2 linked regions of the Lonchura striata genome follow. The protein of the gene in region 1 binds, or shares a complex with, the protein of each later gene. Links are inferred from orthologs where the notes say so. Each region holds a gene or a part of one and is shown in the gene's direction. Other genes may lie near its edges.

Region 1 (8,036 bases):
AGGTTGATTCTTTTGTCTTTTTGGCATCCTTGCAGCCAATATTGCCAGGACATACACAGAGCAGTGTGTGGGGATTCTGACAGAGCTTCTGGGGCTTCAGCAGGAGCACATCACCTCAGGTAACCATTGCAGGCTGCTGCTGGTTTATGCTCTCAGGAGGTGCCTTTGCTGGAGCTCGTGATCCCAAACTCAAAGACACTTGGCTTTCAGTTTAATTGGCACCTTCAGCTGGAAGTTTTCCAGGTGGGTTGAGGGGTGTAAGGTGTGTTCCTTCTGCAGGAGCTGCTCTCTGTGGGAAAGGGGAAGGGGTTGTAGCTGTGTTCATGCTTCTTTCTGGCTGCCACCTGCTGACTCAGGGAGTGAAGGGCTCAGCAGAGACATCTTGCTGTCTATTTGAGAGCCAAGATGATTAATAAATCTTTTTGATCTCTGTGATTTCTGTTCCTCACATAATAGTCTGATGCAGTTGTGCCCAAGCTTCCTTTTTTCTCCTCTGCCCTCAGATCCACCTTCACATCGCTGCTGTTCCTGCTGTTCTCTTTTAACTGGTCTTGCTCTCAGATTTGAAAACCACACACTTGCACTCAGCTGTTCAATTCCATCTCAGGAGCTGTTGGTGTGCCTGAGTGGGCAGCAAAACCTTTCAAGTTTTGACCTAAAGTTCATGAGCCTCATTTTGAATCGGGGTCAGCTTTAATTTGTCATTCCAACCTCGTGTGTCTGAAGCATCATGAGTCAGAGGCTTTTTAAAGGCTGGCAGTGACCAGAAGAGAGGCTGCTCTCCAGCAGAGGAACAATCTGAAGTCTCAGTGCTTTATTTTAGACCTGGTGCAGCTTTGCTCTGACAAATGCAGTCGTGGGATTGGGAAGGAGGATGCCTCAAATCACAGTCTCAGGCAGGGCACTGACCCTCCTGGCAGAGATTTACACAGCCCCTTGAGTAGGGGGGGTTTGAAATGATTTTTCTTTTCTCTAGTGGTTTTTATAACTCCTGGGGGATGCTGATAACTTGTTTTTTCTTGCAGCTGTGGTCCGTACTTTCCGGGACCTGGCCTGGCTGTGTCCCCAGTGCACAGATGCCGTGTGCCAGGCCCTGCCTGGCTGTGAGGACACCATCCAGGACAGTGAGGTGAGGGGGAGGATGGACAACGACTGCTCAGCTTCCCTTTGCCTTGAGATTGGGGGCAAAAATCAGAAATCCTCAGATTTGTTCTCCCATTGTGCTTATTTGGTGCCAACACGTGGCACACAGCAGCTGTTTGCTGGTGTTCCTGTGGTTCCTTCAGGGCAAACAAGCACTGATCTGGCTCCTGGGCACCCATGGGGAGAAGATCCCCAATGCTCCCTACGTCTTGGAGGACTTTGTGGAGAACGTGAAGTCGGAGTCGTTCCCAGCAGTGAAGATGGAGCTGCTGACGGCGCTGCTGCGCCTGTTCCTGGCCCGGCCCGCCGAGTGCCAGGACATGCTGGGCAGGCTGCTCTACTACTGCATTGGTGGGTTCCCTGCATCCCCACAGCTCTGAGGGACCTGCTCTGGCTGTGTCCCCAGGCTGTGTCAGTGCCCTGGCTCTGAGGAGGCCGTCCAGGCTGCTTCCAGGTGCTTCCATGGCTTGGGCTGCTGCCTGGCCCATGGCTGGCTGATGAGTGTGGAGTCATGGAATCAGAATGGAACAGACCTTGAAGATCATCCAGTTCCACCCCCTGTCCTGAGCAGGAACACCTTCCCTGTCCAGCCTGGCGTTGGGCATTGCCAGGGATCCAGGAGCAGCCACAGCTCCTCTGGGCACCCTGTGCCAGGCCTCTCCCCCCTCACAGGGAACAATTCCTTCCCAATATCCCATCTAATCCTGCCTTCTGTTGGTTTAAAACCATTCTCCCTTGTCCTTTGGCTGTCTGCCTGTAAGCAGGCTTGCATTGTATGCCTGACAGTCTGCTTTAACAATGAGGTGTTAGTACTGAGGGGCAGTGTGGCTGACAGAATCCTCCCTGGGTTGCATTTCTGTGGTTGCAGAGGAGGAGCAGGACATGGCCGTGCGAGACCGTGGGCTGTTCTACTACCGCCTTCTGCAGTCTGGGGTGGAGGAAGTGAGGAGGGTCCTGTGCAGCCCCAAGTCTGACCCCTCCATGGGGCTCCTGGGGGACCAGAGCAAGCAGCCTGTCAATGCCTGGGCTTCGGAGTTCAACACTCTGGCCACAGTTTATGGCAGAGAGCGCTGGGCCCTGGCCACTGCTCAGCAGCCTCTGGAACCCTCTTACTCCTGCCCTCCCTGTGCTGACTCCAGCAGCAGAGACACAGGTAAACCTGCCTCGCCTTCCTCTGGGAGCCATTCTCCCCTTGCCAGCAGATCACAGAATCCCAGAATGGCTTGGGTTAAAGGGAGCCTTGAAATTCCTCTTCTTGCACCCCCTGCCATGGGCAGGGATCTTCCACTGTCCCAGGTGCTCCCAGCCCTGTCCAGCCTGGCCTTGGGCACTGCCAGGGATCCAGGGGCAGCCCCAGCTGCTCTGGGCAGCCAAGATGTTCTCCCGTGGGTTTGTTTGGAAAAAGGTCAGAGGGCTTTGGGGATTTGGTGTGCAGTGTGTGGCTGGTCACTGACTAGCCCAGGAAATGCTGCTGGTGGCACTGGGGTTCCAGCCCTCCTCCATCCAATGGGCTTTGTGGAGCTGGGAGCTGCATCTCACAAGTGTTTGTGCTTTCATTTCAGAATCACTGGTTTCTGAAGGGAATAAGGAAGTCCCTGAGGTTCATCCTGATACTCTGATGTCTGAAGGGAATAAAGAACTCCTCAAGGCTCATCCTGATGCAGGCAGCCTAAGCTTGATTCCTGATGTTTCCCTGACTGCAGAACAGTTTGAGAAGACCTGGCTGAGCCTGGACACGAGCTGCCAGCTCTCTCTGCCCTGGTGTGGGCCTGTCCATGCAGACACCATCCAGACAGCCCTTCGTGTTGTGCACATCCAGACCATTGCCATGAGCAAAGCTGGAGCCCAGCCCTGGAAAGCTTATCTGAGTGCCCAGGATGACTCAGGCTGCCTCTTCCTCACAGAGCTCCTGCTTGAGGCAGCAGATTCAGAGCTGCAGGTTTCAGTGAAGCAAACTGAAGCAAAGCCAGAGGCACTGCAATCCTTCATCTCAGCCTTGAGGACAGTCCTGGAGGCAGTGGCTGGACTGGAGTCTTGACTGGTCCCTGCTCCCAGCAGGATGCATGCTCAGAGCACAGGAAAATTTGATTTCTCTGCGTTCTCTCACCCTACCCAGTGCTGGTTTGGTAGTTTTAAACTGCAGAGTTTCCAGATTACCTGGAAAGCCCAGGTGGTGTGGGGGAAGCTGCAGCTGGGGCTGGGGAACAGGGCAGGGTGGAGGGTCTGCCCTCCCCCAGGCTGGGGAAAGGACAGGGTCACTGGTGTGAGTCACAGGACTGGTGGCATCTGTGGTGGGTGTCACGAGGCACAAACATCACTGATGGAACCAGAAGTGAGCAGAATTCAGGGGTGTGTTTTGGAGAGGTTTTTTTCCTGAGACTTAAAAATAATTTTAAAAAAACCCAAACCAAACACCAGAGGCACCAGGACTCTGCCACTTACCTCACATTAAGAGGAACAGAGCAGTGAGAAGAGAATCTTTCATTCTTAGCTCCTTTTACACTTGTTTTAATTTGCTGTCTGGTTTCAGTAGTAGCTTTGCTTTGGGGTGAGCAGAGTTCTGCTGTGCCAGAGGAGGGTGGGCAGGGACATCCTGACTGCTGGAACCAACACTTCAAGAGACAGATGTGGGTTTTTAATTGAAATGTGGTACTGAGGTGAGAATTCTCTCTGAAGTTCCCCCCCAGCTCCTTCATTCAGGATGATGTACACAGTGAGATTGAGCTAACAGGGCTTTAGGGTACTCTGTGAGGAGCACAAGCTTCTTTTAACCCTCTTCTGATTTCTGATTTTCGGTTTCTTTGAATGACTCGATTGTACCCTCAAACGGCACTGTGCCTCCCATGCACTTCACCAAATCCCTGCCACTGTTAAACACACTTCCCTAATAAAAAGGTGAATAATTCTTGGCTGATTCTGGAGTTTCTTGTTCTTTCAACCCTCAGGACTGTGGATGGAGTGATCTGTGGATCAGGGCAGCTCTGCAGCCCAGCTCCTGCCTCTGTGTCCAACAGGGCCTTTCTCTCTGACCTTCCTTGCAGCAAAGCTTTAAGGAGCAATTGGGCAATAAATTAATCTCAGCCTCAAATGCCAAATTACTGTAAAGGGTGAACCTGCAGATGGACTCAAAGGCAGATCACCAGTTAGCTGTAGCAGGTTTCCTGCTGACAGTTGCCAGAGCTGTGTTGTGTTCCTGTCCTCAGGGAGAGCTGAAGTGGAAAACACCAGAACTTCCATCCCTGGAAAGTGTCCAAGGCCAGCTTGGATGGGCTTTTGAGCAACCTGGGATAGTGGAAGGTATCCTTGCCCATTGAGATGAGCTTTAAGTTCTCTTCCAACCCACACCATTCTGGGATTCTATGTTAAAAGCGTGAAGGGGAACTGTGGATTTTCCATGCTGTTTTATGGACTCTTCCAGCCCCATTCCAGGCTCAAAGCATTCCTGGTGAAGCACAGATCCTTGGGATGTGAATGCTCCACAGTTGCCCCCTGTGCTCACCCCTGGCTACCCCTGGCAGTGATGGCTGGACACGGTGCTGAAGGAATTGGGGTGGTGGGGGGCTTGGACTGGTGTCCAGCATGTCCCTACCCTTGTCCTCAGTGCTGCCCACCCCGTGCCAGGTGGGGCTGGTTTGAATGGAGGTGCCAGGGCCCTGTGCCGTGTGTTCTGTTGTGTTTGACCAGGATTATCTGCTACGCACTAATTTCCTTTGGGGCTGTGATGAAGTCAGAAAACCACAGGCAGCTCTCCCCGGCGGCGCCTTCCGCTGCGGATCACTTGACATGTCCCTTCCCAGGAGGGCCAGGCCAGGCACGCTCCGGCACCATGGACCAAAGGGAGATCCTGCTACAGAACCTGGAAAGGGCCCAGGGCAAGAAGCTCAGCCGAGGAGAGTTTGCAGAGGAGTTTTTGGTGAGTTCACTCAAGGCTTGGCTCAGCGCTTCAGCTCATGTCGGGGGAATCGCTCGGTCACCTCTCAAACCTGTAACAGTGAGGTTTTCTAGGAGTTTTACAGCAGACACCCAGAAGTTAATTGGGCTAAGAGGAATGTGAAGACATGATAGGAAATTAATAGTTTGCATTTGAACTGTTTGCTTTTTAACTAATCACCCGAGTGCTTCCTGTTTTCTGCTTGGTGAATGCACTTGTCGGGACACGGTTTCACTTTGCCTGGTAACAGAACTGGGGGGACAGGGAGGAATATGGAGCCTCTGGCCCTGGTGACACAACTGGGGATACAGGGAGGAATATGGAGCCTCTTCCCCTTCTCCCCATTGCAATCTGTTAGACCTGTGGCACACGAGTTCCTGCCAGGCATCTCTGGTTTCACCTTGACTTAGCTTGTCCTTGTTTCTATAAAGCACAAGTTGCCCAAGGGAGCTGTGGCTGCCCCATCCCTGGAAGTGTCCAAGGCCAGGGTGGAAAGGGCTTGGAACAACCTGGGAGAGCAGCAGGTGTCCCTGCCGACAGCAAGGGGTGGAATTAGAGGAGCTTTAAGGTCCCTTCCAACCTAAGCCATTCTGGGACCTGTGTGCTCCACATCCAGCAGTGCTCCTGGCTCCTCCTGGAAACTGCTTTCTTGTTCCCTCAAGGCAAAAGCTGCACAAAATGCTGATGGCTCCCACCACCCTCTGTGTTCTGTGTTGCCCTGAATCTGTGAGCTCTCTGATGTATTTTGTGGTTTGGGTGCCAGGGGTGAGGCTCGGATGCTAATGCACCATCTCATGGCTAAAGCTGGTGGCTGGAGTGGCTCTTGGTGCCTCAGCTGGAGGCAGGTGGCTCTGACAGGCTGGCTGGGCTGCTCTGAGGGCAGTGACATTGCCCAGCTCTCACAGACACAGGGAAGGGTAAAACTGGTACCTCTGTGAGATCTGAGAGGTGTCAAACACTGCACCGACCCGGGCAGTGGGCTCCAGGTTACCAAGGGGTCCACACAAGTTCCAGCTCCAGCCCTGCTCTGTCATACCAGCAAAACTGGCACTTCAAACACTCAGGGGAAAGCTGCGTGCTTGGTTTCCAGGTGTCTGGGTGGAGGGAAGTGATTAATCTGAGCCTGCAGTGGCAGCCCGTTGTTCCATGGAACAAAGCGCTGTCACAGCCTGCTGAGTTTCCCCTCGCTCCGCCTGGTGTCTGCGTGTGTGAGGCAGTGGGCTCTGCCCTGCTGCTCAGGCTGTCTCCAGCAGCCTGATGTATTAATTTCTGACCAAAATGGCAGGTGGAAATGGTCAAGGCTGCATTTCCTGTTGTATGGGATAAGATCTTCTCAGAGACACCAGATTTGTGGCCGCTTTTGCAAGGCAGCGGCCTCAGCAGGCCATCGTGCTGGCTTGTTTCCAGACGTGACAGATATATCCAGTGGCGTTCCTCCACCCCAATTCCTGCCCTCTCCTTGTGGGACCAAGCATTTTTATGGGCAAATTGTGGTGATGTTACTATAAATGATAGGGGTTTTGTTAGAGTCCCCTTGTTCTGTTTGCAGTCTCATCTGCACTCTGCCCAGGCTCCCCGGGGAATGGGCACAGCCCCGAGGCTGCCAGAGCTCCAGGAGCATTTGGACAACGCTCTCAGGCACAGGGTGGGATTTTGGGATGTCTGTGCAAGGCCAGAAGTTGGACTCAAGGATTCTTATGGGTCCCATCTAGCCCAGGGTAGTCCATGATTCTGTGATTCCCACTTCCTTTTTCATGCCTAGGCAGTTCCCAAGCTGTTTCATGTCAGATTATTCAGGGACAGAAAAGTCAGATGATTCAGGGCCTTGGCGAGACTGGACACATGGACTGTCCTGAGCTTCCTGTACCTCCTCCCTCACTCATTCCATCAGATCTCTGAGATTTAGCTTCTATTGTGGCTGAATTTAGTGTTTTAAAACTGCAATTTAATATTAAAAGCCAGCAATCTGGACACAAAAATAGGAAAGAAAAAATGCAATGAGAATGGTGCTTCTGAAACTGATGGTAACAAATAGTGTGTGTTATGTAGGAGCTGGTGGCAGTGAAATAAAATTCTATGCTTTACCAGAAGAAAAATGCTTTAACTCCCTGTGAGTGCTGCAGCTTTATCCTTAAAATGAAAGAGATGAGAGCTTTGCAGCCCTAAGGGTCTGTCCCAGGACTCCTTGTCTTTCATCAGTCCATGGAGCCACTCTGCCCCAGTTGCTTGTGCTCCCTTAGTGACTTGAGCATCACTGCTTCCAGCTGCAGATGGGAGCACCTCTACCAAAGTGAGAAAAATCAAGAGATTTACCTGTCTTTTCTGGTATCATTCGCTGAAGGTGCTTTGACACTGTCACTCCTCTGATCTGGGTGCCATTTGTACTGAGAGTGGCTCCCCTGGGCCTCACCCACTTTGTGTCACTTCACAAACCGACGTGTGGGCACTGCCTCAGCACACACTTTCCATCCTTCTCAAGCCTCTGCTGGGGCTCTCAGATGGTTCTGGCTCTGTTCCTGCTCTGAGCAAAGCCACTCAGGAAAGAATTAATGGTGCCAGCCTTGCTTTGTGGTAGCAAACGTGACCCCTGGAGACCTTCATGTGCTCTCTAGTAGTGAGCTGGCTGTAGCACGTCTGCTGTAATTTGTTCCACTCTTTTATCACAGAAGCTGAAGAGACAGTCAACAAAGTACAGAGCGGATAAAATCTACCCTACAGCAGCATCTGAGCAGCCAGAGAACGTCAAGAAAAACAGATACAAGGACATCTTACCTTGTAGGTTGGAAATGGCACATGTTCCTACTCAGCCTTTTGTTTTTCTTGCTTTTCTTGTTCTCATTCTCTGCTGCCTGCCTGCACAGTGGTTGTATGTGAGCATCTCACTGCTGTCTGTTGGCTTTGAGTCCTGCTGCTCAGATTTAGGGCTTTGGCTGCTGCAGTGCCTGCTCTGGAGGACTTGGGC
Region 2 (7,026 bases), on another chromosome or scaffold:
TTATTATGGCAAAGACTGATGATCTTTCTCTGGGGTAAAACAACAGAACAGGGTCCACCTTTCAGTGATGGCCTCTATTAGAAACTGTTATGAAATGTTAGATAAGAGGTAAGAACAGAGCCTGTGCTATCAATCTTTATATCAATTATGGATTTTACTGAAGCAGAATACCAGCAGGACTGTCTTGCACTGTGAGGCTGCTTTTGGAAGGCTGTTCGAGCAGTTCCCTCTAACAGGAGCAGAGGGAGCTGAGTTTCAGGGCTGAGCAGAGCCTGGTGTGCAGTCTGGGCCGTGCTGAAGCAGCCTCTAGCTGCAGCCACAATGGTCCAGAGCAGCTGGAACAAACCAAGCCAGGTGTTCAGAGGCTGCAGTTTCAGTTTCCATGGGAACACAGACTGGCTCCTCACAGAAGGCAAGGTGATTTCAACATTTTTAATGGGTATGATTTGGGATAATTTGCAAGCCCCTGACATTTCCTACATGGAAATGCAGAGATCCATTCATATGGAATTAGAACAGTGGGCAGAGCTCAGCTGCTGAATCATGTCTGTTTTAGCCATGGTTTTGCTCTGGCAGTGGTTTCCTTGCTGCTCTGTCCCCAGGCTGTGGGGCTCAGTTGGACACCAGGAGCTGTTGGAGTTTGGACATGGCTGCACTGCAGCCGTTGTTTGAAGCTGTGTCTCAGATGTAACGATTCTGGAGGCTGGGAAGGACTGCACCAGTGCCTTCCAGTCTCCACTGGCATTTGCCAAACTACCATTCTAAGGGATCACAATATGCCTGAGGACTTCTGAACAGTACAACCAGCTCAACGTTGGGATTATCTGAGTATTCAGCATTTCTTTGTCTTCTGCCTTAATACTTTCCATGGACTCCCTCATACTCTCGCTATGTAGAATAAAAGGTTTACTGTCTTCTTAATCAAAAACATTTCCTCTGAAGAATGTCTTGCTTGGTGTCGTGGATGAGCACAAAAATGTTTGTAGATGCTATTTTTGTATTTTGCCTACTGTCAAATCCAAACTTGCCACCCAAATCCCTGATAAAAAGCTTTGCTTGAAGTAGTATATAGTTAAAAATTAAATGAAACTTCCATTCTAAAGAATGAGAAAATTTGAGGGCTTTCAAAACAGTGTTTTTTTTAAAAAGTCAAGACTTATCCTTCTTACTACAGAATGGATTCAAATGGTACATTCTGCTGCCAAACAATTTAATTACTGGGGGAAAACCCTCAGGAAGTGTGTTCTTGGCGTTACCAAACAGAATGGCTGATTTTACACCTCTAAGAGCAGTGATGGAAGGAGATGCAGCGGCTGTCAGGGAAGAGTTCCACTTAAGGCTCCTTGTTGATACTGCTGGATTTCTGAGAGAACCTGTCAGGTCAGGCTGAAATCCCTTTAATGCTGGAGACAGGAACGTGACAAAACACACCAAGGCTGATGACACAGCAAGGCAGCTTGGGTCAGGTGCAGCTCTCCCGTGTGGCTCTGATGATCTGTGTGGTTAACCCTGATGGGCCAATAGCTGCTCGTGTCCTCGCCGGCCTAGGCCTGCTCCCCAGTGGTCTGCACCAGCCCAGTTCCATAATTAAGGTCATTAGTTGTGTTTTGGTTATCAGATTGGGATTATGGATAACTGAGGCCTTTGGGCCAGCTGTTAGCCACCACAGCCTTGATATCCTGTTCCTGTGTAGAGCAGAGGGGATACAGAATTGTGTCCCCCTTCTAAAGCCCTGCAAAGCCCTGCACGGCACAGTGCCTCATGGATATAACCCAGTGCCACTGGGACCTGGGGGCAGAGACCCAAATTGACCCAAATCTGCTTCATCACAGCTGGGCTTGGTCTCACACCAGCTACTCTGGCAGCTCATCCAAGTTCCCGAACTGGAGAGCTGCTCTGGGCTGTTCTGAGGAGCTCACCCACAGCAGAGTGCTGATGGCGTTGAAGCGTGAGAGCTGCTGGGAGGTGACTGTGCTACACCAGAGCTCTTGGGTGGGATGGATGCAGGAATAGAGCCCAGCCTGAGGTTCAGTCAAATAATAGGCTTTGTGGCTGGAAACCAAACTAAAAATAACAAGAAAATAGCATAACATTTTAGAGGGCTAAAACACACTTGGTCCATTTTTATGAACCCCAACAGCAGCAAAGATGGTTTCAAAACACAGCTGTAACTTGGAAATAGTAACAGGAAACATTTAGGTTTGGAAGGACTGAGATAAAACACTTCAAAAAAGATCATTTTCTTTTTGGATACAGATCAAGTATGACTAGTGTCCATGCCCTCAAAATACATTTTTTCAAGGAATTTTCCCTTCTGGAAGAAAGTTTCACTCCTTTCTCCTCAACATTGTCTGCAAGTGAATCCTTGCATTTCTCCTCCCACTCTCATGCAATGATGCTTTCTTCCTGCTACATCTCTGACCTTCCAGACTCTCGTCTGCTCTCCTCTGCTTGCACTTCATTTTCTCTCACAGAGTCCCTGCATATTCCTGTCTTCTTCATACCACCAGGAAGGAACCTGGCAAATTCTTTTAAACACCAGCTACAAATTGACCACAGAGTGAGTAGGGGTAACTGCAGCCCCCAGCTGCTGCAGAGCTCTCTGAGCAGAGCCCCGAGTCCTGCTGGAGCACAGGGAAGTTGCAAGACTTCCCCACCCCGGAATGATCTGCCCGGGGGCTGCTGCTGGAGGGCAGCAGGACAACAGTACCCAGAGCAGTGTCAGACAGGCAGTTGGAAACCAGTAAGTCCTGATGTGTTGTTGGTGTGCACAGACAGCTTTCACAGAGGCAACCACCACAGGACTACTTTCCTTTTTCCTCTCCTCTCCTCTCCTCTCCTCTCCTCTCCTCTCCTCTCCTCTCCTCTCCTCTCCTCTCCTCTCCTCTCCTCTCCTCTCCTCTCCTCTCCTCTCCTCTCCTCTCCTCTCCTCTCCTCTCCTCTCCTCTCCTCTCCTCTCCTCTCCTCTCCTCTCCTCTCCTCTCCTCTCCTCCCCTCCCCTCCCCTCCCCTCCCCTCCCCTCCCCTCCCCTCCCCTCCCCTCTCTCCCCAAAAATGCAAGTGAATTTTTAAAACTAGGTATTTAAGAATGCTTAAAACATCCTAAAAAGGTGAACAGAGGCAACCTCACCTGGAGGACAGGTGCTTTGGAGAGGGTTTCAGGAAAGCTTTAGAAGTGTTACTCTGTGCTCAGGTATTTGCAGCTGTGTTATAACAACTGGAGGAGCTGATTTGGGGAGCTGCCTGAAATACTTGGTGTCAGCAGTGTGCTGCTGAGTGCTGCTGCTTCACTGGTCTGTGAGGGTTCACTCAGGTCCTGGTGCTAACAGATTCTTAGCTCTTCTTTTTGAGGACTTTGGATTTTACTTCTAAATTTCACATGCCTTACATATTCATATAAACATTTATGTGAGGGCATGCAAATCAGGCGTGTTCTCTACATCAACATCCAGGTATCTAAATGTGTGCAGACACCTGCACACTTCTCAGGCTTCTTAATTTAACCTGAGTCCTGAAAAGCCTTTCCAGATGCAAAATGCAGCTTTGAGCTAAGTTTCCTGTGTGCAAAGGCGTGGGCCTCTGCCAGTCCCAGAAGGTGCTGCAGAAATGGGGCACTTATGTTTCTTTAGCTTCTTTTTCTTTGCAAGACCACAGCAATAGAGAATAGCTTGTCTCTATGTATTGTGGTGGTTTCTTTTGCACTGTAATTGTTTTCTCTCTTCCTTCAGCTGATCAAATCATATCACTGAACTTAGTGCCTTTTTTTTTCCCCCTCTATTTTTTTCCTGTCCGCTCACACACACCCATGGCAAGGAGCAGCCTGACACCATTTGACATCTCTTTGCTTCCTCATTTCAATATTAACTGTTTACCAGAAGAGAAACAGGTTTGGGGTGCGGGTGCTGAGCACTTGCCTGTCTCTGTTTGTGAGCAACAGCTCTTTTGCCCTCTGTCCCTCACAGCCACAGGTCATTTCTCTGAGCTGCCTGGAACAGCCCCATGCTATTGGCACCAGCCTGACTTCAGGAGGGACAGGTCTGTGGATGTGCTGCACTCTCTGCTTGGGCTGGGGTGCAGTGACAAGGCTCAGAGCTGTGCCTGCTGCTGCTCTCACTCCACAACGGACTAGCTGAAGCATTCCTACCCCTCTGCAGAGCAATAATAATGGCCCAGCTGCAGTTTAAAGATGCTTTTTGGGTAAGTGAGCATTTACTATGTGTTTCCTATATTCAATGTACCTGTGTTTTAAAATCTTTTAAAATACAGCTTGGTTCTGTATATAGTTTAAAACTAATTTAATGTTGTTCTGTGTTCTCAATTTAATTTAGTGAAAATCCAAATTTGTCTCCAGCAAAAACATAGTGTTTGGTAATGTAAGTGTTTGATCCTGGGCAGAAGGATGCAGTGTAAAGAATATATCCAGTCTCCATGAAACCACTGACATTCCCAGATCCTGTACTAGGGCCAGAAACCTCTTTTGAAAGGGACATGGATTTGTCTGTGTCACAGTGGTAAGAACCTGCTTGCAGTGAGTGTCCTTAGCTCTGTGAGTGGCTCCCAGAGCAGGTGAGCTGTTGCTAATTATAGGCTGAATTCCCTCCTGTCTGGGGAAGAGCAGAGCCAGCAGCTGTGAGCAAAATGCTCCTGCTCAGCTCTCTCCAGGCTCCCTCCCTGCTGCCAGGAGCATTCCCAGGCATGCAGAGCCCAGGAGCTGTGAGGCAGCACAGGTTAGAAAGGACCAGCAGTGCCACTCCCCAGCTAAGCCCAAACTCACAGCTGAGTTTAGTATTTGCTAAAACTAGCAAATACTGAAATGAGGAGATTCGCTCCATACTTGTTATTTGACTTTTGTTTGAAAATCCTTTTGGTCTCCTGTTTTCAAGCTCTTTCTCTGCAGTTACAAGGTAAAAGGACCTTAGTAATTTCTCTATGATAATCTGAGGTTCTCTTGCAATTGGAGAATGAAAGTTCAAAATCAAAATTCTAACATTGCAAAGTTAAGTAAACAGGATGTAATGTGGTTGCCTCTTTTCTGGGCAATCATTTATCCAGCATTGAGCACTGACTTAAAGAAAGACATGAAACTATATGAATTCTTCCTGCCATTGCCTGGCTGTTCTTTCTCCTTGTGGTCTCTTTCTCTCCACCCACGCTTCAGGGTAAACCCTCTCTTGGTAGAAAACAGAGAGCAGAGACAAAAACACATTTCAGTGAACCACCATCCTCCAGGCACTTCCAAGAAGCCCTCCCCACCCCCACTGCAGTACTAGATTTGAACAGTTAAAAAGAATAAAAATACAATGAGGAAATATGAAAGTCGGTGTTGATGTTAGGACTGACTGTGCATGACCACACCTATGTGAGATTCTCCTCCTTTGTGCACACACTGACTGCACAGTGCAGTGCACAGGGTGGGACACAACTGTGGGCCAGTGCTACCCTGGGAGCTTCAGCCTGTGCATTGCTGAACTTCCTTGGAAAACAAGCCACCTGACTTCTACAGCTGGTACATTTGGTATAGTTACTTTTCAATGCCTTGGTCTTTAGGGAAAATAAAGCTATGGGGGTAGTGTGAGGGTGATTAATGCCAGCTGATGATCTGGCCAGGCTGGTTCTTCATGGCTTTTCTTCCCTAAGCTTCTCTTCTGTGCTTAGTCACATTGCCATGACTCAAACCCTTGTTTAGCTTTGAAGCTAACACCTTATTTAAAGGAAAGCATCTCTGGATTTCTTTTTTTTTTTGGCTGGATGTATTGCCCAGCTTGATTAAGAGGGCAGGAATGTATCTGGTTGCAGGATAGAAGCTTTAGCTGTTACAGTAAGTCTTTAAAAGTGAAAACTTACAGGATATTGCACAACACAGCACAAGTGTGCAGCATGCCCCCCAGATCACAAGATCAGCAAATATTTTTGCATTCATAAGGTTCTGTTGTGAGAGGAAAATGTATTCATGTGGTTTGCTTCAGCGAGCACTTATCTCCTGTATTTGGTCTGTGCACTGAACAGAAACTGCCTTTCTGATTGACACCCAAAAGGTGTTTGCCCCATGGTGGGTGCCTCAACACAGAGCCCTGATCTCTGATTGCTGCGCCCACTCCCTGTGTTCCGTGTCCCTGAACAACAGCTTCCTGCTCCACCATCAGGAAACTTTTGGATAAGCAGGGGTTTCCTCAGAACCTACCTCAATGTAGAGATCTCCCTCAGCTAGCAGAGAAAGAGCACCATTCATCCCTCCCCAAAGTTCTCCAGACTTCATAGAACAGGATGTGCTGTCTTCCAGGAAAATTGTTCCTCATAACAGGTTTAAGTTTTATCCTCTCTTTCCCAATAAATGTAGCAGTGATAGTACCATACTACTTTGTTCAATTTTATTCCACACTTAGTTCAATTTTATTTTCTTTGTAGCATGGCCTGAGCAAAAACCTGTGTATTTTTTAATTACAGTTTTTATTTATATGTACTCCACATTCTCTGTAATGGTTTAAGGGACAGTTGCTCAAAGTCTGCACTAAAATGTGCTTCTTAGCAGAAGTTCTCTATCCTCTGATAATATTTTTTGGGAAATGTTAGTGAGATAGAAATTCAGATCGAGTTTGATAGCCAGTGCAAGGCAGTTGCTGATGGATTAATATTCTGCTGGGCTGCTGTATGAGCCTGACAGATGTTACCTGTCTTCTCTAGCATCATATAAGACAGGTAGGGAAATTCCTATGTTAATGGGGGAGTGTCTGTGTGGCATCAGCCGAGTTCCATGTTAATGGAGTTGTGTTAACAGGCAGAGCAACAGTAATTGTTTTGTTATGAAAAACACTATCCAAGAAAATCTTTTCCCCTCAGTCACGGAGTGTCTTTCTGAGATTCATTCTCTGTTCTTGCACTCATTGTTGCTTTTCCTTAGTAATTTCTGTCATTGCCTTTTCCTTCTATTTAGTTTCCCTCCAGCCTGCTGCTCAAAACTGCAGCTGCAGCCCCTGGAATGCAGGTATTTCTGGCCAAGAGATAGGAAGGTACTGGCACCACTTCCTGG

Evidence for each region. The genes of interacting proteins can lie anywhere in the genome.
Region 2: the proteins of PTPN22 (region 1) and PSTPIP1 are in contact, whole or in part, in a crystal structure (PDB 7AAM), measured with the Homo sapiens proteins. The link is inferred for Lonchura striata from reciprocal best matches to the Homo sapiens genes PTPN22 and PSTPIP1. Residues at the interface, in NP_057051.4 of Homo sapiens: Ser793, Lys794, Pro795, Gly797, Pro798, Arg799, Asn800, Pro801, Pro802, Trp805, Asn806; in NP_003969.2 of Homo sapiens: Thr225, Arg228, Asn229, Trp232, Asn236, Ser239, Met240, Cys242, Val243, Asp246.

What each region holds. Positions count from the first base shown.
Region 1 is NC_134632.1:4,789,043-4,797,078, reverse strand, and holds the start of PTPN22 (tyrosine-protein phosphatase non-receptor type 22), read left to right. Parts: upstream 1-4,934; 5' UTR 4,935-4,969; coding exon 4,970-5,056; intron 5,057-7,740; coding exon 7,741-7,849; intron 7,850-8,036. Other genes in the region: AP4B1 (AP-4 complex subunit beta-1), read left to right, coding at 36-119, 1,026-1,129, 1,287-1,494, 2,012-2,296, 2,706-3,181. UniProt on the Homo sapiens protein: Acts as a negative regulator of T-cell receptor (TCR) signaling by direct dephosphorylation of the Src family kinases LCK and FYN, ITAMs of the TCRz/CD3 complex, as well as ZAP70, VAV, VCP and other key signaling molecules.
Region 2 is NC_134613.1:4,992,817-4,999,842, forward strand, and holds the start of PSTPIP1 (proline-serine-threonine phosphatase-interacting protein 1), read left to right. Parts: upstream 1-4,023; 5' UTR 4,024-4,163; coding exon 4,164-4,196; intron 4,197-7,026. UniProt on the Homo sapiens protein: Involved in regulation of the actin cytoskeleton. May regulate WAS actin-bundling activity. Bridges the interaction between ABL1 and PTPN18 leading to ABL1 dephosphorylation.